7 linked regions of the Canis lupus familiaris genome follow. The main gene of each other region encodes a partner of the protein of the gene in region 2 in a complex. Links are inferred from orthologs where the notes say so. Each region holds a gene or a part of one and is shown on either strand. Other genes may lie near its edges.

What was found.
Region 1: TXNL4A (region 2) and LSM6 share a complex: the UniProt entries of both Homo sapiens proteins name them as parts of the precatalytic spliceosome. The link is inferred for Canis lupus familiaris from reciprocal best matches to the Homo sapiens genes TXNL4A and LSM6.
Region 3: TXNL4A (region 2) and LSM5 share a complex: the UniProt entries of both Homo sapiens proteins name them as parts of the precatalytic spliceosome. The link is inferred for Canis lupus familiaris from reciprocal best matches to the Homo sapiens genes TXNL4A and LSM5.
Region 4: TXNL4A (region 2) and USP39 share a complex: the UniProt entries of both Homo sapiens proteins name them as parts of the U4/U6-U5 tri-snRNP complex. The link is inferred for Canis lupus familiaris from reciprocal best matches to the Homo sapiens genes TXNL4A and USP39.
Region 5: TXNL4A (region 2) and LSM7 share a complex: the UniProt entries of both Homo sapiens proteins name them as parts of the precatalytic spliceosome. The link is inferred for Canis lupus familiaris from reciprocal best matches to the Homo sapiens genes TXNL4A and LSM7.
Region 6: TXNL4A (region 2) and SNRPD1 share a complex: the UniProt entries of both Homo sapiens proteins name them as parts of the U4/U6-U5 tri-snRNP complex. The link is inferred for Canis lupus familiaris from reciprocal best matches to the Homo sapiens genes TXNL4A and SNRPD1.
Region 7: TXNL4A (region 2) and LSM4 share a complex: the UniProt entries of both Homo sapiens proteins name them as parts of the precatalytic spliceosome. The link is inferred for Canis lupus familiaris from reciprocal best matches to the Homo sapiens genes TXNL4A and LSM4.

Annotation. Positions count from the first base shown.
Region 1 is NC_049236.1:44,949,712-44,953,945, reverse strand, and holds the start of LSM6 (U6 snRNA-associated Sm-like protein LSm6), read right to left. Parts: upstream 2,801-4,234; 5' UTR 2,642-2,800; intron 1,433-2,641; exon of another isoform or gene 1,328-1,432; intron 1-1,327. UniProt on the Homo sapiens protein: Plays a role in pre-mRNA splicing as component of the U4/U6-U5 tri-snRNP complex that is involved in spliceosome assembly, and as component of the precatalytic spliceosome (spliceosome B complex).
Region 2 is NC_049222.1:688,219-692,515, reverse strand, and holds the start of TXNL4A (thioredoxin-like protein 4A), read right to left. Parts: upstream 2,801-4,297; 5' UTR 2,689-2,800; intron 2,331-2,688; exon of another isoform or gene 2,322-2,330; 5' UTR 2,288-2,321; coding exon 2,135-2,287; intron 234-2,134; exon of another isoform or gene 164-233; intron 1-163. UniProt on the Homo sapiens protein: Plays a role in pre-mRNA splicing as component of the U5 snRNP and U4/U6-U5 tri-snRNP complexes that are involved in spliceosome assembly, and as component of the precatalytic spliceosome (spliceosome B complex).
Region 3 is NC_049235.1:44,955,705-44,959,714, forward strand, and holds the start of LSM5 (U6 snRNA-associated Sm-like protein LSm5), read right to left. Parts: upstream 2,801-4,010; 5' UTR 2,689-2,800; coding exon 2,643-2,688; intron 1,557-2,642; coding exon 1,461-1,556; intron 1,176-1,460; coding exon 1,148-1,175; intron 472-1,147; coding exon 399-471; intron 1-398. UniProt on the Homo sapiens protein: Plays a role in pre-mRNA splicing as component of the U4/U6-U5 tri-snRNP complex that is involved in spliceosome assembly, and as component of the precatalytic spliceosome (spliceosome B complex).
Region 4 is NC_049238.1:39,787,387-39,790,886, forward strand, and holds part of USP39 (U4/U6.U5 tri-snRNP-associated protein 2), read right to left. Parts: intron 2,964-3,500; coding exon 2,828-2,963; intron 325-2,827; coding exon 238-324; intron 1-237.
Region 5 is NC_049241.1:57,200,108-57,204,323, reverse strand, and holds the start of LSM7 (U6 snRNA-associated Sm-like protein LSm7), read right to left. Parts: upstream 2,801-4,216; 5' UTR 2,791-2,800; coding exon 2,785-2,790; intron 2,702-2,784; coding exon 2,611-2,701; intron 1-2,610. Other genes in the region: SPPL2B (signal peptide peptidase-like 2B), read left to right, coding at 2,947-3,006. UniProt on the Homo sapiens protein: Plays a role in pre-mRNA splicing as component of the U4/U6-U5 tri-snRNP complex that is involved in spliceosome assembly, and as component of the precatalytic spliceosome (spliceosome B complex).
Region 6 is NC_049228.1:66,473,027-66,477,274, forward strand, and holds the start of SNRPD1 (small nuclear ribonucleoprotein Sm D1), read right to left. Parts: upstream 2,801-4,248; 5' UTR 2,684-2,800; coding exon 2,670-2,683; intron 1-2,669. UniProt on the Homo sapiens protein: Plays a role in pre-mRNA splicing as a core component of the spliceosomal U1, U2, U4 and U5 small nuclear ribonucleoproteins (snRNPs), the building blocks of the spliceosome.
Region 7 is NC_049241.1:45,126,311-45,129,841, forward strand, and holds the end of LSM4 (U6 snRNA-associated Sm-like protein LSm4), read left to right. Parts: intron 1-478; coding exon 479-662; intron 663-2,422; coding exon 2,423-2,514; 3' UTR 2,515-3,031; downstream 3,032-3,531. UniProt on the Homo sapiens protein: Plays a role in pre-mRNA splicing as component of the U4/U6-U5 tri-snRNP complex that is involved in spliceosome assembly, and as component of the precatalytic spliceosome (spliceosome B complex).

The sequences.
Region 1 (4,234 bases), on a different chromosome or scaffold from region 2:
ACAGAGGGGGTACCTAGCCCTCTTCTGAAGGATTCATACCAATTCCTCCTCCCCATCCAGGAGAGGGCCACTTTCCTCCCCTCTCTCACTCCAGCCATGAATCCAGCACTCAGAGAGCACCCCTTCCCATTTAGCAGGCTGTTCTGCAGTTTTCCTGTTGATCAGTCTCCCACAGTAGGTTCTAAGCTTCTCAGAGACAGGGGAAAAGGAACCTAAGCTCACCGGCCAATCAATCCTGTGGGAGACATTTGAGGACAGTGCCAAGGAAAATCCCTGTCCCTTTCACCCCTACCCGCAAACTATGGGTATAGTGACTAGCACTGCATCATCTGTGCACTTAAATGGCTATACCACAGTCATATCTCTGCTACTGACCACCAAATAAAAGACAAAGAAAATAGAAATGTTTCTGTGTTGTACAAGAACCAGCTGCATCCGAGTCAACAGAGATGCTTGTTAAAATGCAGATTCCTGAAGTCTACTACTCCTAGTCAGACTCCCCAGGCAAGGGGACACCGTAACTGACATTTTATAAAGCTTCCCAAATGATTCCTGTAAGCAAATGCGGACATCTGGAGACATTCTGGACTGTCTTGAATGAGGAGGGTGGTGCTAGGACATAGAGGCCAAGGATGTTGCTTAACATTCTAAAAAGCACAGGACAGTGCTCCACAGCAAAGGATTATCCGGCCCAAAATGTCAACTGAGGTTGAAAAACTCTGTTATAAACCCTTTATCAAAAAACCATTGTTCTCTAGTATTCAAGCAACAAGGAGTTTTAAAAAACTTTCAAGGTATAACAAATGAGAACAAACAGCTCAATTCTAATCAGATGATCGAGTACAAATTCTAACTTTTAATTTTTTTTTAAATTCTAACTTTTTAGATACTTTATCCTGACATAAAGGGAATCTAAAAACAACTGTCAAGAAATCTTGAAGGGGGGGAAATCCTTGGGTGGCTCAGCGGTTTGGCGCCTGCCTTTGGTCCAGGGCGTGATCCTGGAGTCCTGGGATCGAGTCCCGCATCAGGCTCCCTGCATGGAGCCTGCTTCTCCCTCTGCCTCTCTCTCTCTCTCATGAATGAATAAATAAAATCTTTAAAAAAAAAAATCTTGAAGGGTTGCCATTTTAAGTAATGGATTTCTTAGTCCCAGTCCTGAAAATGGTCAATTTCCCAAGTGTTACACTTCCCTCAGATGACTAAAATCTCTGTTATTTCTAACAGGACAAAATAATTCAAGTGATGCCAAGATTTTTAAAAATGCTCATACAAGTATGCCACAGTTTAGTGAGAGACCACCCAATGCAGCATAAGGAGTACTCACTTGGGAGATGGGAAACCTGAATTCTAATCCCAGTTCTGCTACTTAATGTAGCTGTATACCTTGGAGAACTCATCATTTCACCTCTCAAGGCCCCAGGTTCCTCATCTGCAAAATAAGGGAGTTATGCTGGATGACCACTTAAGAGATCATCCTGCTCTAACATTGTCAGCCTATGCAGGAACTCCAGTAATACTTTTACACACACACACACACACACACACACACACAAACCCAAGATAATTCTCTAGACTCCTGCACAAAATTCAAGCAATTGGCATTATGAAACACCACCATAAAAAAAAAAAAAAAAAAAAAAAAAGTGAGGGTGACGTGTTAGAAATACATATTATGAGCTATCATACTTTTGGTGAAAACAGGCACAACCTTACATGAAATGCAAACTGCTAAAACTCTCCTGGAAAACAATTTGGCAAGGGGTATGTAGATCTGAAGAGACCTTACTGGGGCACAGCACCTATTGTAAAAATGTCCTTGCTCAGAATCAATCCAAGTGAATCATCCGAAATGCAGTTTTAAAAATAACGTTTATCAAAGTACTACCTGGGATGCTAGGATGAAACAAAAATTCGCAAACACCCTAAATGCCTCACAGTCGGGAAATGGCTGAATAATTTACGGGACCTACACAAGGACAGAACAGGTAGCCCACCAAAAGGCGCAAAACCAGAAATAACATTTAAGAGGCACTTTTCAATGAAAGCGGACAACTCTCTGTACTGTTAACGGAGGGCACAGGTAGTCGTAGCTCAAACAGGAAGTGGCACGTGCAAGAGTAAAGATGGAAGGGGTTCAGTGAATAGGGCTTCCTTCGCTAAGCGCTTCTGAGTCCAGGATCTCCACAGCCTGTGTCTCTGCGGCATTGGGGGGGGGGGGGGGCACCCTAAGGCCCCATCCCCTGCTCCGGCCGCGCGCGCTCATCCGCGGCAGCCCCGGCGCCAGGACTCGACGCCGTACCCTGCGGGCGCCCGCGGCCCGAGGCCCCAGGCCCCGGTAAGGTGGCCGCGGCGGCCCCGGAGCCCTCGGAACCCGGCGCGGCCCACGGGGCCCCGCGGCCCGCTCTCCCGCCCACCCGCCGGCGAGGACCCCGCCAGCAGCCCCGGTCCCGGTCCCGGAAGGCGAGTCGGCGGCGCGGGGAGGCTGCGGCGGGCGCCCGCGGGGTCCATCGCCCCTCCGGGGGGCTCTGGGCCGGGCCCCTGGGGTCCGCGCGGCCCGCCTCCCGGCTGCCGCTCCCCGCACCCACCCCGGGCCAGCGAACACCGGGGCCCCCGCCGCCCGCGCGGCCGCCCGGCTCACCTGGCGGCCGGGACCCAAACCCCCGCTCCAGGTGGCGCGCAGCTGCGGCCTCCGCCGAAGCCCGGGCGAAACCGAAAGTGAAACTGCCGGAGCGGGCGGCGCGCCTCTGCGGCCGCCGGGGAGCGCCCTTCCGGGCTACGGCAGCCTGCGGGGCCCAAGAAGGCCGCGCTTCGGCGGCGCGCGCCGAGCCGGGAGTCTCGTTTGGCCCGAAGGCAAAGTTGGGGCTTTGGCGGTCAGAGGAGAAAGAGCCGCTGCTGCTACCTCTTAGCAGAAAGCAAACACCCCTTAAAATACTTAAAACAAAACAAAGCCTGGAAGTGATCTTTTAGGCAGGATTTCCTTTAGGCAGAGATGCAAGAAATAGCTTGAAGTCCTACTAAACTGGAATTGACTACTAGGGTCATGACTATACAGGCTCGGAAAGGTCCTTGAAAAAGTTAATGCAAATAAATAAAGCAGGCATCCTCAAATCTTTAAATCCACTTTGGATTTTGATCGTGCGATGAAGTCATTATTAGCAAGAGATTGTTTCCATGGCAACGTAATTGCCACAAAAAGAATTAAAATCCCTAAAGTAGCTCCGTATTATAATGGTATGACTTGCGTTACATTACAATCTAGTTCTAATTGGAAATGGTATGCAGACATTATTTAAGTGCTGCTATGGGAACTTGGTTTGGAATTCTGCATGGATTCTCAATATTCTTGCTATTAGTGGAAAGGGCGAAGAAAAAGAAGTAAAGTGTTATACCAACACTTGATTCCTTTTTCTCCTCACACACATACCCTCAACTTAAAACCTATACTTTAATTCTGCTTGTGATTTGCAACACTCTAAACAAAGAAATAATATCTTTGGACAGATTCTTAACTCTTAAGTGTTACAGATCTAAGATGCAGGGTTTTTTCCCTAAGATCTACATGAGTTTCCCCTCTCGTAAACCTGTCTTAGCTGAAGAAAGAATCTTTGATTGATATGACGGCCAGAGAACAACTGGGTGTGATTTGGTGGTGAAAAGAGATTTCCTTATATCCTTCCATAAAAGCTCACTTTGGGTAAAAACCAAGCATTACAGATTTCTTGAAAAGGCTTTATTTGAAGCTCTTGCGGTATAAGATATAATGTGAAAAAAATTAAGTATCATTTAAATAAAATAATTAGCTGCAAAGAACAAACATAATCAGATATAAAGAAAACCCTGTCCCTAAAAAGCCTTCCTCACAAAAGACCTCAAATTGTACTATATTCCTCAGTGGTTGTTTCAGTGATTCATAAAAAATAATTTTTTGATTCATAGCCTTTTTCTCATTGCTATAGAGCCCTGGTGGAGTCATTAAGACGGGTGTGGTAGGCAGGAGGCAATGAGAAGTTTTAAGGGCATGGTTCATCTGCAGGCATAGTTGCTACCTCTTCCAAGAGGCATGGATCTCTGAGGGCCCCGCTGGACCAGTGCAGCAGGCACCATTGATAAACTACAATTATCAAAATGTAGTTGTGCCCAGAATCCCCCTCAGCAGCTTATAATTGGCTTTCAGTGATTCACAAGGCAACATTCCATGTTTCACAAGTTTTTCTTTAGCATTTTTTTCCCA
Region 2 (4,297 bases):
TCATTAAGCTTACCTCCCATGTTTTCAGGGCAGCTCAAAACTAATACAGCATGAGGTGGTGGCCTCATGATGGTTGGCACCATCAAAGCATCAAGTCAACACACCACATTCCCGGAGAAACAATCTAATCAAGTCCAGCCTAAACGGTGGAACTTTTACTCACTTTAAAACAGCTGGGGTATCCAAACAGGGCTCGAGACAGGATGAGGAAGATCCCCCACTATCTGCCATTTCTGCAGAGGGAGATTTTTAGATAGTTAAGTTGTTCTTTATACTAAAACTTTAAATTTCAAAAATTCCTGTTGAGCTCAAGAAGGACTTCCAGAATTATAAACTCATGTTTTGCCTTTACACAGAAGAAAATAAAACAATTATCTTGTGATGAGTTTCAAGTTTGCATTTCTAATAACTGTACTATATAATATTAAAAGTTTATTAAAACAGAAATCCAAATTTTTGGACCAAAGAAAAAGTACCTTAAAGATAAAACAAAGACAAATACTCAAAGTGAGCCCAACTAAACTGTTCTTATCAGTAGGTTCGATCCCAGAGTGCGTTCCTCAGTGATCCCGCAGTCCAGCCTACAGCTGACACACAGGGATGGGAAAAGAACAAACAACTTGCTGAAAGTCCCTAAGAGCTCAGGTTAACACAAAATCTGTCTCCCAAAGAAGAGCGTCTTGCTGGGTTTTGCCTGGGTATGAAGAGCCAAAGGAGCCTCCCGTCTCTAACCATCCTGACCCTGCACCGAGGGCAGCAGGAGCTGGTCACCACCTGGTGTTTATGCCCCCACATGCCCCGCACAATTCAGAACACACACCCTACGTTATTTCAAGGTCAACAGAGCAGCAATGGTGTTTCTCAGGAAAGTGCTTGGAGGTGGTTCTTCACTGACCACAGCAGTGTCTGCTTTTGACGCGACAAACTGGCGCCGCAGCTCTCCCGAGCTCCCCAGGCACCTCCTCAGGCTCCCCAAGAAGAGAAAGGGAACGGCCAGTCTCCCAGCACCCTTACTCTGATCCCGAACTCTGCCAAGTGGTTTTTGGAAGCCACTTCAGAATTCCCAGGGCAGCTTTTGGGCAGAGCTGTGTGTGGACCTCACCCCAGACCTGCAGAACGAGAACCTCGGAGGTGCACCTGAGCAAGTCTTCCAAGCGATCCTCACGTGACTGACCGGAAAGACGGCCTCCACAGTTCCACGGTTCCCAGTGCTACCACCCGGCCTCGCTTGGCTTCTCCCGCCACACAGGAGATCAGAAAAAGTAGCAGTGGAAGGTCAGATAGTTGTTAGTGAACTAACCTCAATGTGGGGTCCTGCTCTGACCCCCGAGACTTCGCCTTTCCCAGACACATCTGTCCCTACACCTGTTACCATGTACTGAGCTATCTTAAGCCCTTCTTCCTCTGAAAGAAATCATGGCTTTAATGTTTCCATTACTCTTGACCTCTCCTTATTTACGGAATATCAGTAAGTAATCTATGAATTGGCTACAACTACACATCCAAATGAAAGTTCTCCTGAAATGAGCCCACAGAGCCCACAGGAGAGCACCAGGTGCTGCTGGTTCTGGAACTGCCAACAGAGCCTCCGACAAGCCAGGGTGCCAGCATGGTGACCCAGACTGGGTCCAACCAGGCAAGTCTCCCAGAGCACGTCTGAGCTAGGAGTGCACTTAGGGCACAAAGACCGGGATGGAGAACAGGCTTTCCTTCCCCTGACAGGCACGACTGCCTCCCACACACAGGGAGCAAAGCACCAAAAACTGGCAATCCTGTGCAGCTACCTGGCTAAAATGGCGTTCCACGAAGTCCCTAGGTGTGCTGCTCCCAGCTCCGTGGAGGTGGCACCATGAACCCCTTCAAAACCTGGAGACCAGGGACACACTGCTCCCACGGAAGGACCGTAGCCTCGGGGCACAGGGTCAGGCCCCCTGAGCCCGCCGCACCCTACCCTCTGAGGCCTGGAGCCTCCACGCGGGGGTCAGGCCCTTGGACCCTGCTGCGCCTCTGCAGCCTGGAGGAAGAGGAGGACCTGCACGCGGTCACCTCACTCCAACCCTGCAGCCACCTAGCAAACGGGGCAAACCAAAGACCACAGCTTCCTAGGCTGACGCTGGGCGGGGGGCTGTGTTACCTTCTCCGCGATGCTGTACAGCACCTCGTCCATCTTCATACACGTGGGGTCCCAGTCGTGTCCAAAGCGGATGACGACCACGCGGTCCTCCTCCGACAGGATGGCCTGATCCACCTGCCAGCCGTTGTGCAGGTGTGGGAGCATGTACGACATCTCGGGGCGGCTCCGGGTACACCTGCGGGCACACCTGCGGGAACTGTGCGCACCGGCTCCTTGCGGCCGACTGCGGGCAAGGGCTGCACGTCGCACCCGCCCGCGCCCCTGGGTCCCACAGCAGACCTCACCCCCCCGACCCCTGGAAGAGGGACGGCACTGAGGGGACGCCCTGCAGACCCAGTCCCCGGTGCGGAGGCCCCGGGGTCGCCCCCATCCGTGCCCCTCGGTCCCGCCGCGGGGAGGGCCTGGGACCCCCGCAGACCTTGCCCCCGGCCCCCGGCCCCGGCCCCGGCCCCTGTCAAGCTCTACCCCTGGAAGGAGAACGGGGCCGCGAGGACGCCCCGCAGACGCCAGCCCCTGCCTCCCTCGCCCCCGCTCCCCGCTCCGTCCGCCCGCACCTCAGCCGACCGCAGCCTCCCGCGCGGCAGCCCTTCCCGGCGGGGACGCGAGCCGGTCGGTGCGTGCGCGTGGCCGCCGACGCGAGCGTGAGCGTGCGCGTGGCCGCCGACGCGAGCGTGAGCGTGAGCGTGCGCGTGGCCGCCCGACGTAAGCGTGAGCGTGCGCGTGCGCGTGCGCGTGGCCGCCCGACGTAAGCGTGAGCGTGCGCGTGCGCGTGCGCGTGCGCGTGGCCGCCGACGAGGGGCCGCGCGCGCCCGGCGCCGGGAGGGAGGGACACCGAGCCGGGGCTCCCGTGTGCGCCCGGGCGGTGCGGCCGGTGGCCCCCGGACCCCGCGGGGTCGGTCTCCTGAGGTGTCGCCGCGGTCACGGGGGGCCCGGCTTTGCCGCCTGATTCTCAGCCCCAGTCAGGCCCCTCGGAGCGACCCAGCTTCTCCGCGGCGCCCCCGTGCCCTGGGGGTGTGACGAGGGCAGCCGGCCGAGCGGAGCTGCGAGGTGCGGTTCGGGTCCCGGCGGGGAGCAGCGCTGGGAGCCGGGGGACGGGGCCGGCACACGGGACAGGCCGAGGACCGTGACGTGACGGGCTGGGGAAGGCCCGTCCTGCTCACCGCACAGCCGTCCCCGGGGCGGTCAGGGCAGACTAGGCCCCGCTGTGCGGTCGCCGCGTCAGCAGAAGACCAGCTAAGGTGTGGGTCACCGTGTGAAACACGCACGGCCCTTGTCGCCCGTCGCCCCGTCCGCCTCCGGGCGCGTCCTTTTTGTCAAGAAGCTGACGGAGGATCCCCCACGTCCTGTGGGGTCCTCGCGCTGCAGCCCCGGGGGGTCGTAGAAGCGCCACTGCGGTCTCCGTTGGGGCAGCTCCCGTCCTGCTGGGGGGAGGCCCGAGCGCGGTCGGCTGGTCGTCCCCACTCCCCGCGGTCCCTGAGCCCCGGCGACCGCGGACTCCCGCCCGCCTCCCTGCCCCCGCCTGCCCCGGGCAGTTCGTGCGAGCGGAGACCGACCGGGACATCGCCCGGGACTGCCTTCTCCAGGCCGCGCTGTCCGCGGGCGTCAGGATTCGGTCCTCGGTGCTGGTTACCACTTCATCATACGCATGTGTGCATTTTTTTATTTTTATTTTTTATACATTTATTTTTTGTTGGTGTTCAATTTGTCGACATCTAGAATAACACCCCGTGCCCGTCCCGTCAGGTGCCCCCTCAGGGCCCGTCACCCAGTGTGTGCATTTCATTTATCCATCGTCTGACATTTGGCTGTTTCCACTTTCTGGCCGTCGTGCATATGCTGCTGTGAACATCTGGATTTGTGTTTGTGTGGACTTAGGTTTTCGCTTCCCTAAGAGTATATGAGTGGAAAGCCGGGGTCACGCGATAACCGTGTTTAACATTTTATGGAATACGAACTGTTTTCAAGAATGGCTGCAGCTTTATTGTATTTATTCAAGAGAGCACGTGCATGCCCCCAAGTCGTAGGGTAGGGGAGCGGCGGAGGGGTGGGGCGGGGAGGCGGGGCAGGGGAAGCCGGCTTCCCACCGAGCAGGCCCTGCGGGGACTCCAAACCCCGGACCCAGAGACCGCGACCTGAGCTTAGCCAAAAGGCGGAAGGCGGACG
Region 3 (4,010 bases), on a different chromosome or scaffold from region 2:
AGAAGGAAAAAGAGCTTATTAATACCACCACCACACCCATCATCTAAAAACCCCTTTTCACCCATCAAAGATACCTGGCCTCTTTGCTCCTCCCCCACATTCCCATTTTCTCCAGGTCATTGCTTCTGTTTATAATCCCAACATCGTCAATTAATACTTAGAGTCTAAACAATGATTCTTGGCAAACCAAAAGATTAAAAAGCCCAAGCAAACTAATCTTTAAGCCTATTGTCATGTTCAGTAGCTCAGCTTTAGAGCCCTGATCACAGGAGCATCTCATTCCCAACTTAAACCCACTGGGCCATGAACATTTATTTAACCAAGCCAAGTAATCTGTAATCTCTGCCTCACAAAAATGGGCTACATCTAAAAAAACGCCCAGCTTTACTGTACCTTACCATTGTTATATTATTTCCATTTAGCAAAATTTGATCTAATTTAGTGATCCTTCTTCCTTCTGGTGTGATTTCACTAAATGAAGAAATAAAAGAGTCAAGATAAACAATGATAATCAAAGCCAACATTCTGATCCCTAAAAAAGTTATTCTTATATTATATGAATATGAGGTTGAGCAATTATGTCAGTAGTTTTCAGAGACAAAGGTTATCCACTGGATGACCAAAGGCAACACAGTGAACTGACTGGCCTCAGATCCACATCCACTAGGATCAAAACTAAAAGAAGCTAAAACTGGCCAAAGAGATCAAATATGAAATGGAATGTTTACTAGCCTCACCTTTTTACTATTATTTACTACTAATCCCTTACCCATTAAACCAATCTGTAATCAACTCAATTTTGAAAGCAGACACTGGTTGTGATCTTTAAAACTAATATAATGGAGCTATCATTTATATCTTAAGTTTAATGCCTTGATTTGTCTGAGCACAAACATCCTTGGCTGTTTTTAGTATCTTTTATCTCAAAGCTCAGTCTCCACTAAGTCCCTACCAGTCATTAATAATAACATAATAATTACATCCGGTAATAACTGATCCAATTTTACCAGTGTCAGTAGATAAAATTTCTATCTTTAAGGTATTTCTGACAGGCAATGTTTTCTCATTAATCATTTTAAACTCATTAATACTAAAATTGACTTAAGGAGAGATTCCCCCCAATTCTTTAATTTTTAACACTACTCACAACTCAGTGACATCCTCCAGTACCATATCTGAAATTTGGTGTTAAGAAAAATACATATACCAGGTTGAATTTACTCTGGCTTCTATCTTTACTCCATTTTAATTACAACGTTTAATACAATGGCTCCAGAGCAAAATACTAGTAATCGGTAGGAACTTTATCTTTTTTCAGTACACACACCTCTTAAAACGCTATCAAGAGGTGAATAAATTTCTAATACAATAACCAGTTACGTACTGACTGTCCATATTCTTATTTCTGTTCTTAAGTACTGCAGGAAAACCCATACCACCACCACCTTTTGAAAGGATACTGACAAAGTCATCAAATCCCAAAAGTGTGCCAACAATTTCTTTATCACTCTTCATCACAATGTGAATTCTTGATCCTATACATTTGTCCACGAGCTCTATATATATATATATATATTTTTTTTTTTTAAAGAAAAAAAAAGAGGGGTGGGGGGGTGGAGAAAAAAAGATTATTTTACCTGTTCATTTCTTCAACAAATATTGGAATGCCTACTGGCACTTGTTAGTTACTTACTGTGAAAGATAAACCAGAGAAAGTATTCATTCAAAAACTTTAGAGATTTTACGGTACGTTATCTCTGTTGCATAAACAAAAACGTCCTGTTTACCACTTACCTCTCCTTTGTTGAAGTTTATCCATCACGGTTGTGGTTTAATGTTATTTTAAGTGATTTTGATTAACATACGAAATGCATAATTAATATATAATTAACATCTGAGCCCCCCCCACCCCCTGCAGCCCAGGTGGTTCAGCGGTTTAGCGCCTGCCTGCAGCCCAGGGCGTGATCCTGGGGTCCTAGGATCGAGTCCTGCATCGGGCTCCCTGCATGGAGGCTGCTTCTCCACCTCTCTGGGTGTCTCTCATGAATGAATAAAAATGTTTGTTTGATGTTTTTTTTTAAGAGTCTAAGCCCCATGAAACAACTGTGGTTGTTTTCCCAGGACTCTATCCTCAGTGGGCAATGTCTGGCACATAGCAAGCGTTCAAAAAGAGTTGGTGGAATCAAAGAATGAAAACTTCCAAAACAAGGCCACTTCCGATAACTCCATCAACTCTTTGGCTACAAAATATCGGAAGAGGCACAACCGTATCCACCAGAGATTTCTTCCTGTCACTATCTCTGTGTTCGGACCGCAGTTTGAACGCCTCGTTAGCTGGCTTCGTTATCACTCGGCGTGATGCTTACAGGTGGAGCGCTCTATCTCCTCCTGGTGTGTGTGCTATCCGCAGGCAGTGGGAGGCGTCTGAATTTGTCCAAGAGCGCCCAGCCCTCGTGCCTAGTGCAGAGAGGCTCCCGGGCGGCCCGGGGCCGCAGACACTCGGGAGCCGGCAGACGAGCCGCGGAGCACTGAGGCCCTTCATCCCCACATTTCCCTAACACTCGACCAAGGGCTACTTCAGCCGCAGCCGCCCGGGCCCCAACACTTAGCCTGAGCCCTCCGGTCCCCTTCTCCGCGATTACCTAGAGGCAGCAGCTGCGACGGGTTAGTGGTAGCGTTGGCCGCCATGGCTACGCCGGAAGTGGCCCGCCGGCCTCGCCGTCAGCCCGGCAAGTTTGAAAGAGCGCGCTTCCGCTCCCCCCGCCGGCCCGCGGCCCGGACAGGCTCGACCAATCGGAGGCCGAACTTGCGATCCAATCAGTCCGCAGGAGTCGCTCCTTCCCAATCGCTTCTTTCCCGGGCGCTGAGCTCTCGGGGAGAAGGTTCCGTCCGCTGCAGGTGGTGCGGTCTGGGCACGTAGCGGCTTTCCCCGGGCAGTTTCCGACAGACAGACGCTAAAGGGATCCTGCTTTGTGAATAAATCCTTCCTGCAACCCGGAAGGTTTTGCAAAATACGGAAATCTTTGAATCGTCTTATTTTCTGCTATGAAGTTGCACCTCATCTCAAGCCAGGATCTTTTTTCAGACCGAACCAAAAATTTTTTTTTTTTTTTTTTTTTTTGCCACTAATGCACTGTGTTGCAGTTTTTGTAAAAGCCGTTTTTCAAAGCATCTACTCCTAGAGCGCCCATGTGCCTCAGTGGGTTAAGCCTCAGACTAGATCTCAGCTCAGGTCTTGATCTCAGGATCCGCTGGTTGGGCTCCACGTTGGGTGCGGAGCCTATTTAAAGAAGAGAGAAAAAAGAATCTAGTGCTTCTTTTTAAAGTCCAGTGAATTGAAAACCCACAACCAGCATTTAAAAAGAAAAAAAACCTTCTACAGTGGAAATTTAAAACACATTTTATTTTTATGCCTACTACCTTATCATTCTTACCTTGTTGTAGCTAGGAGTCCAATTTATCACAGACTGTATCCACTTTCAACACTTAACTGTCTTGTCTTATAAGCAGCCACCAGATGTCACTGTCCGCTAATGTCATCACACAGGAAACCTTAAGGCTTTTTGTTTTTTTTTTGTTTTGTTTTGTTTTTTTAAATTTTTATTTATTTATGACAGTCACAGAGAGAGAGAGAGAAGCAGAGACACAGGCAGAGGGAGAAGCAGGCTCCATGCACCGGGAGCCCGACGTGGGATTCGATCCCGGGTATCCAGGATCACGCCCTGGGCCAAAGGCAGGCGCCAAACCGCTGCGCCACCCAGGGATCCCAGGCTTTTTGCACTTCTGTTTTGCAAAGAATAGAAAGCAAACAAATTCTCTGCCTTAAGTCTGTTTCATATTTGTATCCCAGGAACGTAAGGCTGACGAGTCTAAACAGGAGAGAGCAGAAAAAAACATCATTCATTCATACAACAGATAGTTGTAATACACACATCATTCATTCATGGAACAAATATGCATTAGCTACACACTATTTGGCATTTTGCTGAGTATAAAACTGTACAAAACAG
Region 4 (3,500 bases), on a different chromosome or scaffold from region 2:
CATCCACAAATCTTCCACGCTTCCCTGCCCTTCTCTTTTCTAACAATCACTCCTAGGTTCACAGGGCTATATAATCTGGCCTCCTCTTGCCAGATGCACTCCTCAGTGCATCCCAACAGGTACCCAGCCTAACCAAGGCTTTAACTCAATATCACGTCTTGCCTTCACTCACATCATTCCTCTCACTGGCCCCACACCCTATCTGTTCAGCACATAGCAAGTTCGTGGCCAACGCACCTGAATATAAGCCTCCGAGAGCGTGATCATCTGGGGAAGGATGTCAGTCACCTGCAAGTCTTGTAATTCATACCATTTGCCCGTCCCCTGCAAAAAGTATTAAGGGATAGGTTAGTCTCCTCCCTAAAACCAAAAGGTACAGAAGGAAAGGACTGCAGAAAAAAAGTGAGAAAAATCGGAATAGCCACTAGACCATCTCTCAGCAAGAATCATAATTAAGAGGGTGCATGACTTCTGCTTGGCATCATTCAATTTAAAGAGCTTTTGGAGTGCTGATCTTGGCAAACTCAACCCCTGCCGAGGATTCCTTGAAGTATAATGGAGTCTCCCAACACTTTTAAGAATTTAGGTAAGAGGTAGCCCTCTACTCCTCATCTAAGATAACTCCTTGCTGTTCAAAAATGACAGACTAGGGATGCCTGCATCTGCCTTCGGCTCCAGGCGTGATCCTGGGGTCCAGGGATTGAGTCCCACATCAGGCTCCCTGTGAGGAGCCTGCTTCTTTCTCCCTCTGCCTATGTCTCTACCTCTCTCTGTGTCTCTCATGAATAGATAAATGAAATCTTAAAAAAAAAAAAAAAAAAAAACAGACAGACTACACACACTGAGCAGGTGCAGTGTTAACTACTGGGAAAGCCTAAAAGTAGACATCCCCACACCCCATCCCAGAGAACACAGCAAGAGCCAAGAAAAGTGTCCTTCATGGACACAGTTCAAAATACTAACCTGTTTCCTTTGGTCCATAAAATCAGTGCTGCAAATACAGCAAACCTACCTTACTTCATGCTGCCATACATAAGGGAGAAAAAGAGGCTTCTGGATTATGGCAGAGGCACTGCTGGAAGCTCACCTGCCTCATCCATCCAAACTTCAAAGAAATGCCAAAGACAGATACTACAGACTACAGATATCCCAGATAGTCCAAGAGTTCAGAATATAGGAAACATAAGAAATGCTCAGGATCACACAATCAAGCCCCTATTCCTGTATTGAGGACTGGTTAAGAACCTGGTGAAACCAAGGGCGCCTGGGTGGCTCAATCAGTGAAGTGGCCAACTCTTGATTTTGGCTCAGGTCATGATCTCAGGGTCCTGGGATCAAGCCCCATATTAGGCTCCACACTCATCAGGGAGCCTGCTTGAGGATTCTCTCTCTCCTCCCTCTGCCCTACTCCTGCTCACACATGCACTCTCCCTCTTTCTCTCTCTATAAAATAAATAAATAAATGTTAAAGGAAAAAAAAATAAGTATCAGGGTTCAAATCCCAAATCTACCAACTTCAGGTAAATTACTCAAACTCTGAAGCTAGGTTTCCTTGGTTGATTTAAAAAAAAAAAAAAGGTACTGGGGCCCCTGGGTGGCTCAATCAGTTCAATGTCCAACTCTTGATTTGGCTCAGGTCATGATCTTGTCCTGAGATTAGGTCCTGCATCGGGCTCCCTCTGCAGGGAGTCTGCTGGAGATTCTTTCTCCCTCTCCCTCCATCCCTCCCCTGACTTGTGGTTTTCTCTCCTGCTCTCAATTTTTAAAAAAAGGAAAAAAAAAGGTATTAATGCCTGTCTTAGAGGTTGTGTTAAAGATATAAGTCAGGGGCCCCTGGGTGTCACAGTCAGTTAATTATCCGACTCTTGGTTTCCACTCAGTTCATGTTCTCAGGGCTATGCAATCCAAACACAATCCAGCCCCATATGGGGCTCTGCACTTAGCACAGAGCCTGCTTAAGGGGCTCTGCACTTAGCACAGAGCCTGCTTAAGATTCTCTCTGCACTCCTCTCCCTCTCAAATAATACATTATTAAACACTCATACTTTCTAGCACACAGTAAAATCTTTGATAAACAGAGCTACTTATTTTCCCCCTATTCCCAGAAGGCTAATCAAACTAAAACAATCTATGCTAATCATCCATGTGATACCAAACATATCTTAAGTACATGTTTCATCCATTTTTAGCTTGAGACAAATTCAAAACAGTTTTTTTAGCTGAAAGAAACCTTTAAACCAGTGCTTCATAGACTATAATTACATACCAGAGAGTCTTGTCAAAATGCAGATTCTGACTCCGTAGGTTTGCATGGGGCCTAAGATTCTGCATTTCTAGCAAGTTCTCATATGGTGTCAGTGCTACCAGTTCAAGGATTCCACTTCAGAGGGTAAGGCTCTAGTCTAGGATAGTGGTGCTCAACCTTGGCTGCACAATGGGATCTCATGGATAATTTTAACACCATGACGCCTGGTTCCCACCTCCACATAATCTAATACAGTCTCTTAACTCTGACATTTCGAGCCAGATAATTCTTTGTTATGGGGGCTTCCTGTGCACTACAGCATATTTAGCAACAGCCCTGGCCTCTATTCCAGGTGAAAAAACAATTTGTTCTAATATAACTGGCTTTGAATGTCCCAGGCATCAATCAGGATTTTAAAATCTCCCCAGGTGAGTCCAACATGCAGCCACAACTGAGACCCACTGCCTGGAACTAACCACTGACAGCTCTATTAGTTGCAGAACACCAAGGCCAAGACAGGGCGAGGTAAAGAGAGCAGGCCACTGAAATGCCAAAGGAACAGCCACCATTTTTGCCACTCACGTGATGAAGCACGTGGATCCGGTAGGAGCCCTCCGAGGGCTTGCCGTCGTGTACAATGTTGGCAATGAGGTCATAGGTAGTATTCTTGTGCACTGCTTGTACTTCTTCAGACAAGTATTCTCTCAGATCCACATTTCTAGTGATGATGAAAATAAATCCAAGTATCAGACAAAGGCTATGGAGGTCAGGGAAACTGTCCTCCATCAACGGACTAGAGAGCTACTGACCCCTACTTTAGGGCCCTGGATCTAGGTATACTTGCAGAACCATGAAATCCAGCTTGCTGGAAATTCACATACTTTGCCACAAAAATGAGTCAAACGAGCAAGATGGGCTCTACGGGGAAAGCACACTGTAAAAGCAGGCCTCGCCATCAAAACTGCACAGCCTCGTGTCATTCACATTAGAATTGGAATGAGGGCTCTGCTACTTCAGAGGTATGTAGGCATTTGAGCAGGTTGAGCCTAAAGCTCTTCTCAGATATGAAAAGGAGCGGCCCCATCTCCTCGGAGATGGTGAGGGTTAAGGGAGACCACAGGAGTAACACATCACCCCCCTGCTCTCTCTGGGAATCCCACAGGTGCAGTGTTCCGTTGACAGCCTCTGGCTAGGGAAGGCCTGACCACATGATTCTGCGAGTCACCACTGTAGAGAATCATTTTAACAATTTCAC
Region 5 (4,216 bases), on a different chromosome or scaffold from region 2:
GCGCATGCGCAGAGGAGCGGCGCCTACACGGCCAGAGGGACGCGCCCCAAAGCCCTGCCCCTCCGGCCTTCAGGCCTCCCGGCCCAGGCACAGCTGGCGAAGCAGGGGTGCCCCCACCACGCTCCACCGCGCTGCTGTAGTGTCTGCGGGGAGTACGGGGCTGGACGGGACCGACAGCTCTGCGCACCACGGCGTGGGGGCCCAACCCGGCCTGCTGCGCTCCTGTGAGCAGCTTCACCGGCTCAGGGCGCCTTCACGCCTCCAGCCGTGACCGAGATCGCCTGGCTCTGTGCCTTCCTCTCTCCCCGACTGACCTCCCCTCCGCCCGCAAGACAAAGGTCCCGAGGACACTTCCCCGACGAGCTTATGGGCAGCGGGCACTGTGGCCGCACCTGCGGGTCTGCCCTCCTCCGTGGGGCACGAGCAGAGTTCTAAAATGGGGCTGACCCCGGTGACCACCCAGTGGAACCCCTCCCCTCAAGTGTGGGAGGGAACCTGTGAATAGGACGGGATGCCACTCCTGCCATTAGGTTACAGGAGGATAAAGACGAAGGAACGGGCACGTGTGATTACGGTCCCAGAATCAGTGCCCTCTCAGCTCACCTAAAGAGATTCTGCTCGGCCGGCCTGACCTAATCAGATGAGCTCAGGGGAACAGGAACTGTGTCAAAAAATTCAAAGCATGAGAGGGATCTTCCCACTGGCCTTGAGGGAGCAAACTGCCATGCTGTGGACAGTGCTGTGGCCAGGGCCGGCGGGCAGCCTCTAGGACACCTGTAGCAGAGCTCGGGGACCCTGGTCCTACAGGGGTAGGACCCTCGCAGGGGACCAAACCCTGCCCACAACCAACAGGGCGTCTGAGACACTCCTTTAGTGCAACCTGAGCCCCTGAGCCCAAGGCACCCAGACTCCTCCTGACAAACACCACAAGATAATAAATTCATGTTGCGTAAGCTGCTAACGTGGTGGCAACTTGCTACACAGCGTAGAAAACCCATATGAGCACCCTGAGAAACGAGAGCTGTGTCTCCTTCACGGGTCCCAGAGCCAGCACGGCGCAGACAGAGCAAACATCTGTTCGGGTTCAAGTTCTCACCACTGCTGGCTACCTAGACTTGCAGGCACCGCGCTGTTAACCACGCCGATGCTACCCAATCGTCCACATCTCCGGGAGAAAGGATCTGGGTCACTGTCTCATGAAACACAACGAAAGCAAAGAGGCAGCTGAAGAAATGAAATGTTGCTCAAGTGCTTGCTTGTGTCAGAAACCACATCGAAGGTGCCTCCAACCCTGTGATCCTCACCACCGCCCGGTGAGGTGGGGGGAGTGAAGAAATGGAGCCCTGGGGGGCGGGGTGAGCTGCCCGAAGTCCCACAGCCAGTGCGCCAAAGAGCTGTGGCTCTGACTCCAGCTGCCTGGTGCTAGGACCCCAGAGGCCACACTGCCTACACGCACCAGCAACACTGGGCCCAGCTCCTGCCCTCCTCACTATTCCAGGGGAAAGATGCAGAGGTCGGTGTCGTGTTTACTGCGTAAAGCGGGGAACGGTGACAGACGGTACCAGGAGCTGACACCAAAGGCGTGGGGCCCAGGGTGGAGGATCAGGGAAGGCTTCCTGGAACAAGAATCCTGAGCTGAGAGCAGAAAAATGACTGTGGAGTTAACCTGGAGTTAGAAAGAGAGACTCCCAACGGCGTCACTCGTGCCAAGCCCCGGCCACCCCACCGCGGCCTCATACCTAACCTGGCCGCACCTGCAGCTCTCCCAGGAATGCAATCTCCACCAGTCAGCCTGGAACTTCCAGGTCAGCCCTCCCGAGCTAGTCTTCCTGAAAGAACCCCCAGCATCCCCCAGAGGAGGGGGACCCTGCCGGAAGCGATCCAGCGTCTGCTCCTGCACCCTCTGCCTACGAAACCCTCTGGGGCTCTGCGCCGTCTCCTAGGTGGGGTGCTCCCTGGCTCGTGAATAGTGGGAGAAAGCTCCCGAGATCTTTGAAATTCATTCACCCAGAGAAGCCTTGTGTTTTAAGCCTGGTAAGAGCCCAGCAGGCGGGTGCACGTCACAGCCTGGTGGCAGCTGAGAGCTCCGCAAGGCTGCCCCTTCCCCGGGAGGGACCGGGCGGCCCAGAGGAGGGCCCACCTGTGTTTAACAGGCCCCTCTGGACCATCCTTGACACCGGGCCGCGGCTCGGCAAGGGAGATGCCTGGTTGGGGTGCCCAAGCTAAGGCATGTCCTGGCATCTGGCGGCATCCGGGGGTTGGCTGCTCCCCTCCCCCCAGCGCCCCGACAGCCCCGAACAATCTGGCTGGCGTCAGGGTCACGAGTGCGGAGCCCAAGGAGCCGGGGCGGGGGTCAGTGACCAGCGGGGACCAGCGGGGGCGGCTGCCTCGGAGCGAGGACCCCGCCTGCGCCTCGGCCGCTTCGGGGTGTCTGCAGCTCCTCCCGTGCCTCAGTTTCCCCGCGTGCACGGCGTCGGACGGAGGCCGTCGCGAGTCCTCCCAGCAAAGCGCTCCGGCCTGCGCCCGGGCATCCGCCACCCTGCTCGCCTCCCGGAGCCGTCGACGGGGAGCGGGCGGCGGGGCGGGCGGCGGGCGGCGGGGGGCTCTCACCTTCGCGGCCTCCCTGAAACTTCACCCGAATCGTCTTGTCGATGTACTTCGACAAGTCCAAGATGCTCTCTTTTTTCTTCTTCTCTTTGTCCTGCGGGGGAAGCAGAGCGCGTGAGGCGCAGAGCGCGGCCGGGTCCCACGCCGCCCGCCCAGCCGGCCCCGCCGCGCGCTCACCGCCATCTTGCCGCCGCGCGCCGCTCTGCGCAGGCGCCGCCGCGCGCCCTTTGACCCCGCCCCCGTGCGCAGGCGCGGAGCGCACACGGCGCAGGCGCGGCGGGGCGCGCCGGGGCGTTGCTGGGAAACATCTGCCGACGCCTGCGGCTCGACCCGGCTGACATGGCGGCGGCGGCGGCGCTGGCGCGGCTCGCGGCGGCCTTCCTGCTCCTCGCGACCCAGGTGAGGCTGCGTCGGCCCCGCCGGCCCCGCCGGCTGCGGCGCCCGGTCCCTCCGCCCCGGGCCCCGCGCCCCGCGGGAGCCCCGCCCGGCCTGGCCTGGGGGCCAGCCTCGGGTCTGCTCGCCCCCCGCGCGGTGGCCCGCGGGCCGGGAGCCGGGCCGTGACCTTGCGGGCCGGCCCCCCCCGGAGCCCTCCCCAGCCGCAGCGTCGCCCAGTTGCGCCTGGGTCTGAAGTCCGGGAGGCCCCCCGGCTCCCCAGGCCCTGCTCCGTCCCGAGGCCCCCGGCCGCCGCCGGGGACGCCCCCCGCCTGGCCCCCAGCCTCAGTTTCCCCTTCCGCGCGAGGTTAGCGCCCACCCGCGTGGTTGCGGTAAGCCGTCCGGCGTGGCCCCCGGTTCCCCACAGGGAGCGGCCGAGAGCCCGCGTCCCGAGTGGGGTCCAACCGCCGCCCCGTGTTCTGTTGCGTGACCTTGGGCAAGGGAGGCCCCAGCTTCGGGCGTCAGTTGCTCATCTGCAAAAGGAAGACGTCAGTGAGGACTCGGCGGTGATGCTCATGGGGTGACAGCTGCAGCGTGCTCCTCCTCGGGCAGCTGGGGTCAGAGGTCTCCGGGCCAGCGGGGGGCCTGCTGCCAGCCGGGGGGTGGACATCCTCCTAAGCGCACTTTGTATTTGCAGGTCCTCCCTCCCCGGTTCCCTGGGTGATGCAGCTCAGGGAGTGGTGTCCCATTAACCTTGAGCTGCCCGCCGCAGGTCCCCATCTCTCTCCTGTAGCCTCCGGTGGCCACTTGCGTCTCACACACCCCCCAGTCCATGGGCGGCACAGCAGGAGGGATGTCTCTGAAAGTGTGTCAGGTCTGGTTGCATCCAGATGAGAGCCGCCCCTCGGCTTCCAGCGCGTGTGGGAGGCCTCTGTGGTTGGGCGGCTTGGGACGCTTCCCCTCCTGTTCCTAGTTTGCTGAAGGCGCTCCGCCTCCGTCTGGTCTTCCCCGTTTCCCCGGAATGCCCCTGGTCATCCTTCCTAGTTCTTCCCTGCCCCCACCCCCCTCCGGAGAGGCTCCCTGGGAGGCCCCGTCCCCCGCTGTTTGCCAGGCCCTGCTCCATCATCTTCCTCAGCACTCTCTCGGCAAGTTGAGGGCGGGGACGTTTTGAATGAGAGCAAAGTGAGAAGTGGACGCAGGGTAACGGGAGCACCGTGGAGGGACGGACCCAGTTTGC
Region 6 (4,248 bases), on a different chromosome or scaffold from region 2:
AAACTAAACTACGATAGAAGAAATTGATTGCACTGGGGGTATGAGAACAGAGACTGACTAGGAAGGGCTTGAGGTTTCGGTAATGTTCCATATTCCACATCTCAACAGGGGTTTGGGTTATACAGATGTGTAAATTTTTCAAAACTGGCAAATGTACATTGTATTTCATTGCATGAGATAGTCACCTCAAGAAGTAAAATTAAAAACCTTGGGTGGAAATAAAAGAAAGCTTTTATGACTCAGTGGTGCCACTGGAATGAATGACAGCAAAGGTATCTTGGCAGAAAAGAGTTATCCCAGCTCAGAAATCAAACAGATTTGAATTCTTTCCGATGAATCCTTCCCTTTGAATTCGTTCTTACTGAAACTTAAATATCCAGATAATATCCTTCATAGCACCCAAAAACATACCGCTTGCATAGTATCCTTCAGGATCCAAATCCACACTAACTGAATTCAAAAACCAAAGAAAACTGGATAATGTTGGGGATCCCTGGGTGGCTCCGCGGTTTAGTGCCTGCCTTCAGCCTGGGGCGTGATCCTGGAGAACAGGGATCGAGTCTGGCATCAGGCTCTCTGCATGAAGCCTGTTTCTCTGCCTCTCTCTCTGTCTCTCAAGAATAAATAAACAAAAAAAATTTTTTTAAAGAAAATTGGATAATGAGAGATACTTCTATGAGGTAGGTAAAAACTGTGAAAACCTGGCAATTTTATGAGATTATTAAGAAAGATGTCAAAGTAAACTCCCAGGTTTTTGGTTAGAGTGGCAGTAAGGATGATAGTGCCATCAACCACTGTACAGAAATAAGTCAACCAAAAATGCAAAGCAGTTAGACAAATACTCATTTTCTTGGAACAAAACATATTCACCAGTAAGAAGAAATTTTATTTCTACAGTCTAAACAAAGAATAGGGTTCAGTACAGCCTTTAAAATTTTCAGGAAAATTGTGTCACAACATGCAGTTTCTTTAAATGAGATAAACGGATTCTAAAGAGTGTGACACAAAACTATAAGTAGATTCAAATAGGTAGGGATTGAGAAATTGTGAAAATATACTTTAAATTCTGGGGTGTTTTTCTCCAAAGTTACAGTTCGACTAAAAATTAACCTTAAATGCCTTCCTTAAGAACTCCGAATACATATTGAGGGTTTTATACGTTATTTCATTCACACTAGAAATTGTCTATTTGTCTGTCTTCGCAAAATAGTTCAAAGAACACCTTAAAAAAACAAAATCCACTGCCTGTGCCTAGTGTAATAGGTGCCCAATAATTGATTGATCGCAATAAGACTAATCTTGATTCAGACAAAAGACTAGCTACATTTATAACTAATTTAATCAGAAATCTCCTCTATGTTCCAGGCTCCCTGCCTCAAGGAAAAACACCAAAACCTTATCTGCAGATAGTTTAGAATGAATTACTCAAATCATAAACCAATAGGCTCAACTAACCAATGAAGTTTAAACACAAGAGAATAGTGATCATCTGCTAATCAGCCACAAATACGTAAAGTGACTCTGCCAGACGTTGGGAGATTCTTCCTGAATTAAAGTCCTATTTTGTTTTCTTTTTTTTTATTTTAAAGATTTTATTTATTTATTTATTTATTTATTTATTTATTTATTCATTCATTCATTCATTCATGAGAGACACAGGGAGAGAGAAAGGCATAGACACAGGCAGAGGGAGAAGCAGGCTCCATGCTGGGAGCCCGACGTAGGACTCGATCCTGGGTCTCCAGGATCATTCCCTGGGCCGAAAGTGGCGCTAAACCGCTGAGCCACCCAGGGATCCCTAAAGTCCTATTTTGAAGGGAAATGGGAGTTGGGTAATCTTAACTGTAAGGAGTCGAAAAGAAAAGAAAAGAAAAGAAATGGGAAAAGGGAAAGGGAAAAGGAAAAGGAAAGACCAAAAAACCAGAAGTCCAATCCTGATTTAAAACATTTCGGAAATGGGTTTCGTCATTTCCTGATGAACCCCTGCAGCTTCTAAGTACATTCTAAAAGCTGCTTAACGGGACGTCTGGGTGGCTCAGCGGCTGGGCAGCTGCCTTTGGCTCAGGTCGTGATCCCGGGACCCAGGATCGAGTCCCACGTCGGGCTCCCTGCATGGAGCCTGCCTCTCCCTCTGCCTCTCTGTGTGTGTCTCTAATGAATAAATAAATAAATCTTTAAAAAAAAAATAAATAAATAAAAGCTCGTTAACTTAATGCAACGCGTACAATTTTCCTTAGGTCTCCCACGTTCTCCGGGAGCGTATATTTAGTCGTCTTTGCGGGTCCTGAGGGCTGAGACCGGCCAGAAAAATCATCTAGACTAGAGTACGAGTTCTAAGGGAACGAACGTCTTCTACCAACCGCAAACAGAAGCCTGTAAGCCTGGCGCCGCCGCCTTGCAGGCCTCTAAGACACTAGGGGGGAAGAAATGGCCAGGCCTTCACGTCCACTAGCCTGAAGACACGCGGGGGCCGCGCGCCAACGAGTCTGAAGCCCCGGCGGCAGCGCCCGCGACGGCGCGGCCAAGCTGGGGCGGGAGCGGCGGGCGCCGGAGGCCGTTAGCAGGCCGCGCGCGCACGCGGCTTTCCCGCCTCCCGCAAAGGGGCAGCGCGGCCTCCCGCTCGCCGCCCAAATCGTCACAGCCCCCACCCCGCCGGGCTACCCCCTCACCTCACGAGCTTCATCCTGGCGGCGCCGTCGCTCTTTCAGCCCGTTAATGTACAGAACCGGACTACCAAGGCCCGAAAAACTAGGAGTATGAATGGCCGGAAACGCCTACTCCTCGGGCTCGGACGTAAAGGGCGCGAGGAACGCTGAGAACGCGAGGCGGAAGCGCCGAGGCCCCCGGAGCCGCACTCCCTTCCGGCCGCGCCCAACCTCACGGCGGCCCCTGGCGGCTGGAGGTGTGCCTTGCGCCTGCTGAGCGCTTTGAGAGCCGGTCCAGGAGGAAAATTCCAGTAAGGGCGGGGATTTGGGGAGCTCAGATCCAATTAGTAGGCCGGGCCGCGGGCCGCGGGCTCAGAGTCCTGTGTTACGGGGCAGTAAATACACTCGCGAAGGAAATGTAGTTCTGACAAAGCCCAAAAAATTATGCGAATTCAGCTCCAACACCGGGAATGTACCTGAAGAAAATCACACAGTTTAGCTTATTATTTTTACTTTAAATTCTAGTCACAGGGGCACCTGGGTGGCTCAGTGGTTGAGTGTCTGCCTTTGGCTCAGGTCGTGATCCCAGGGTCCTGGGATGGAGTCTTGCATGAGGCTCCCCTGCATGGAGCCTGCTTCTCCCTCTGCCTGTGTCCCTGCCTCTCTCTGTGTATCTCTCATGAATAAATAAATGAAATCTTTTTTTTTTTAATTTTTATTTATTTATGATAGTCACACAGAGATAGAGACAGAGGTAGAGACACAGGCAGAGGGAGAAGCAGGCTCCATGCACCGGGAGCCCGACGTGGGATTCGATCCCGGGTCTCCAGGATCGCGCCCTGGGCCAAAGGCAGGCGCCAAACCGCTGCGCCACCCAGGGATCCCTAAAATCTTTTTCTTTAAAGATTTTATTTATTTATGAAACAGAGAGAGAGAGGGGGGCAGAGACACAGGCAGAGGGAGAAGCAGGCTCCATGCAGGGAGCCCGACGTGGGACTCAATCCCGGGTCTCCAGGATCACACCCTGGGCCGAAGGCAGGCGCTAAACCGCTGAGCTACCCAGGGATTCCCTAAATAAATAACATCTTAAAAAAAATTTGGTCACAAACCTCAGAATGGCACCTACATTGTTGAGAGCTCTTGTCTCTAATAAGCTCACAAACTATTTCATACCTTCCCTGTACTCTCCCTCTGAAACCTTTTACAGTGTCTTCCTAAGATCACTCTCTGCTAATATTTCCTCTTTCGAGAAGACCGGAAGCCATCCTTTTAGAACTTTCTTCCAGTTAGAAAGGTAGATGTATCATTGCCCCTTTCCAAGGCAAGTTCCTCTTCATTGTAGTCTGGCTCCCATCTTTCATTTTTCTCAAGAATTTCACTCCTTCTGGGCAGCCCCGGTGGCGCAGCGGTTTAGCGCCGCCTGCAGCCCAGGGCGCGATCCTGGAGACCCGGGATTGAGTCCCACGTCGGGCTCCCTGCATGGAGCCTGCTTCTCCCTCTGCCTGTGTCTCTGCCTCTCTCTCTTCCTCTGCATCTCTATGAATAAATAAATAAATCTAAAAAAAAAAAAAAAAAAAAGAATTTCACTCCTTCAGTTATCTCC
Region 7 (3,531 bases), on a different chromosome or scaffold from region 2:
TAAGTGGATGAATGAATGAGTCAGGGCACATAGAGAGGGTTCCAGAAGGTAGGTTCTGAAAGGCTAGAGGCAGGAGGGTGGAGGAGCTGGGCTGCGGCAGTGCCTGGTGTGTAGGTCCCCGGCCTTCTTTGGAGGGAGGTAACAAACCTCCCTTGGGCTGCAGGTAACAAACCCCATCCCACACTGGAGGATAGGCTGAGAATGAGGAAGCTATCTTTTGTGACTCCCTGACCTTTACTGTGTAAAAGGATACCAAGAGTCTGGAAAGAGTCCACTGGAAGGCAGCTCTCCCACCCGCATGTGAAGTCCAGGACTGAGAACTTTGCAGGGGTGATGCAGGTGCAGACTGTGGCCCAAATGGGAACGGGGCCTGAGGGGACAGATGTGCCCTAGCCATCAGCACACACCTTGCACAGATACCCCCCCTCCTCCCCACCAAAACCCACTGAGATCTGAGACTCACCCTTTTCTCGCCCAGGATGGGGACAAGTTTTGGCGGATGCCCGAGTGCTACATCCGTGGCAGCACCATCAAGTACCTGCGTATCCCTGATGAGATCATCGACATGGTCAAGGAGGAGGTGGTGGCCAAGGGCCGTGGCCGCGGTGGCCTGCAGCAGCAGAAGCAGCAGAAGGGCCGAGGCATGGGGGGTGCTGGGCGAGGTAGGCCTTTCTCTCCCCTCATCCATCCCCTCCCACCAGCAGGCTAGGCCAGAGTCTGCCCAGGCCTTGCCACCGAAGGGTGACTGCAGCACATGGCAGCCATCCTGTCCCAGTGTTGACATTCTTGGGTGGTGCTGTCATGGTGCCACAGGCCTGGCTCTGAGCCCCCTACATAGAGCTGGGGTTATGACTCATGGGGCTCCTCTGGTGTGGCTGATGCTGCTGTTTGCTGCCTGCCCTGGCCCCACAGCCCCCACCGAGGAAGCCTGGTATAGTTCTGGTGAACAGTGCTGATTCCCCCACCCACCTGGGCCCTTCCATCCAGCAGTGATCCCCAGTGCTCCTGAACTCTGGGTCCAGCCCAGCAGACCAATGTGGTGCCCACCTGGGGCTTGAGCCTTCATCTGATCCCTGCCTATGTCTCCTGGCAGGAGCTCTGGGCATGGTGTGGCACCTCCCTGGCTCATTTCCCCTCTGCAAAGAGAGTCTGGTAATTCCTGCCTCACCAGGCTGCTGGTGAGGATCCCGGCTTAGGGCCTGGCAGAAGCCCCTTGCCTGCTGTCACTCCTTTTCACAAGCCTGAGTTCATCCCTCTTTGATAGACTCCCCTCACTCAACTCCCCCACCACCACCACTGAGATGATAAATCTGGCATAAACTTCAGTTTGTTGTGCAGTCAGCTGGGGCCTGAGCCTAGAGGCCATCTGCAGACCCTCCCAACCCCCCAAACCCCCTCCTCTTCTTGGAGGGCCCTGGCTTTGTCTCTTCCATCTGTAGGGGCCTTCCATATGCCAGGCCCAGGCTCCCCAGTGGGGGCTCATAGGCAGGGCCAGGAAGGATACAAGACCCGGCCCTGAGATGAGGCTCCCGTGACAGTCAGGGGTGAGCCAGAGGGAGGAGGTCAGGAGGGCGCTCCAGGTGGGGAGGTTGCCAAGGCCTAGCAGGGCCTTTTCCATACCTGAGGGCCAGGCTCTTCGTGCCAGGGGCCACCACTGTTGAGTGAACTGCCTAGAGGAGCAGAGAGGAAGGGAGGGGTGATTGCTTGGGTCACTGAAGAGAGAGACCATGGGGCCCTCGGCAGCAGGTGGAAATCTCACCCTGTGTGGTAAAGCTGGCCTTGCCCCATGGGAGGTGAGGTTAGGGTGGGTCTCCATCCCTACAGGGCCCACTGCATGTTTGTGGTAGAAGGGGGACCATGTGTACCATTCTGTGTCCCCATCCGCCCTGGTCCTCCCTAAGTGGGGGTGTGTTCCATTCCTGACTACTCAGCCTCCTACACAGTTCCTACCTTGGACTCCACGTGAAAAATCTTAAAAGCAGAGCCCCATTACTGGCTAGCAGAGGTTAGAGGGCAGGGGGCTCCCCTGTCCCCACCCCTAGGCGGGACACACAGAATCTCCTAATTGTTTCTCTCCCTGGCTAGTGGATGTGGACAGTGCTGGAGAAAGGGGGAAGCTTGGGTCCTCAGCTGGGGGCCTGTGCCCTGCCCCCTGGGCTAAGTCCTACCCCTTTTCTGGCTCTTGTTCCCCTCCTCCTGGAAACCATCTGGCTTTGTCCTTCTGGTGTCTGCCCCCTATGCTGGCCCCAGGCTTTCTCCCAGGAAGCCTACCCCAAGCCCCAGTGTTGACTTAGAGCTGACTTAGCCACCCTGGCATCCTCTTGTTGCTTATCAACATTGAGAACTTTCTGGAACACCACCCCATGTTCTCAGCTGGGCTTCCAAACCCACTTTTGCTATAGCCCCCTCCTCTGTCTCACAGGTGTGTTTGGTGGCCGGGGCCGAGGTGGGATCCCAGGCACAGGCAGAGGTCAGCCGGAAAAGAAGCCAGGCAGACAGGCGGGCAAACAGTGAGCCGCCTCTCTGTCCCCCAGAGACTGAGCCACTACTAAGCATCTGCTGCCACTCCCTGAGGCTGTGTTTCTACTCTCCAGTTCACAAGTGTGTTCAGAACAAAGAGAAGAGGCAGGTGATCCTTTTTACATAAAGTCACCCACCCCCCCTTTTTTAAAGCCAGCAGTTCTACAGTTGGGTATGTTATTCAGTGTTTTTGGTTTTGTGAAGCTGCAGCCAACTTGATTCCTGGAAGATTCTGTGTTTAATGTGTCTTTAAAGCCCTCGCTCTTGTTTTAAGGGCGGCACTTTCCAAACAGGCTTGTTTTGCATTTTGAGTTGGATCCTCGTGTGGTGAACAGACCGGAGGTTTTTATTTTAAGCTGTTTGCACTGAGATTGACAGCCTTGGGAGTTTCCTGAAACATGGACCTCAGGATTGCCTTTTGAAAACAAATCTGTATGAACATATACCACAGAAGCTGTTCCTGGGACATTGCTGGGCCCCGCCCCCTTTGCCTCTGCCCTCCCTGTTTGTGTTACAAAAATAAAAACAAATACAACTACAAACTGCAATTCATAATTCCTTTTGAGCCACTAGGCACATCTAGAGTGTGGTATCCTCAGGAAATCACAGCCCTGTAAGAGAAGTTTCCTTTCGAGGGTTGCTTCCTGTCTCGCCAAGGGGAAGTATTTCAACAGGGCACTGGTTCCGTGTCCCTTGATGTCATTTTAACAAAGATGAGGCTGGGGTTCTAGGTGGCTCAATCGGTTAAGTGTGTGCTTCTGGCTCAGGTTATGATCTTGGGATTGGTAGGGAGCCTGCTCCCTCTGCCTTTCTTCCTCTGCTCGTGATCTCTCTCTCTCTCTAATAAATAAAATCTTAAAGAAAGAAAGATGAGGCTGTTATCTGGGCAGTGGGAATGGCCCTCCTGCACCATGTTTCCCTGTAATCCCTGCCCCTTTGTAAAGAATTGATGGGGGAGGGAGGCAGAGTGGGGAAGTCCCAGGCAAGAGCCAGTGTGATCACCCATGCAGG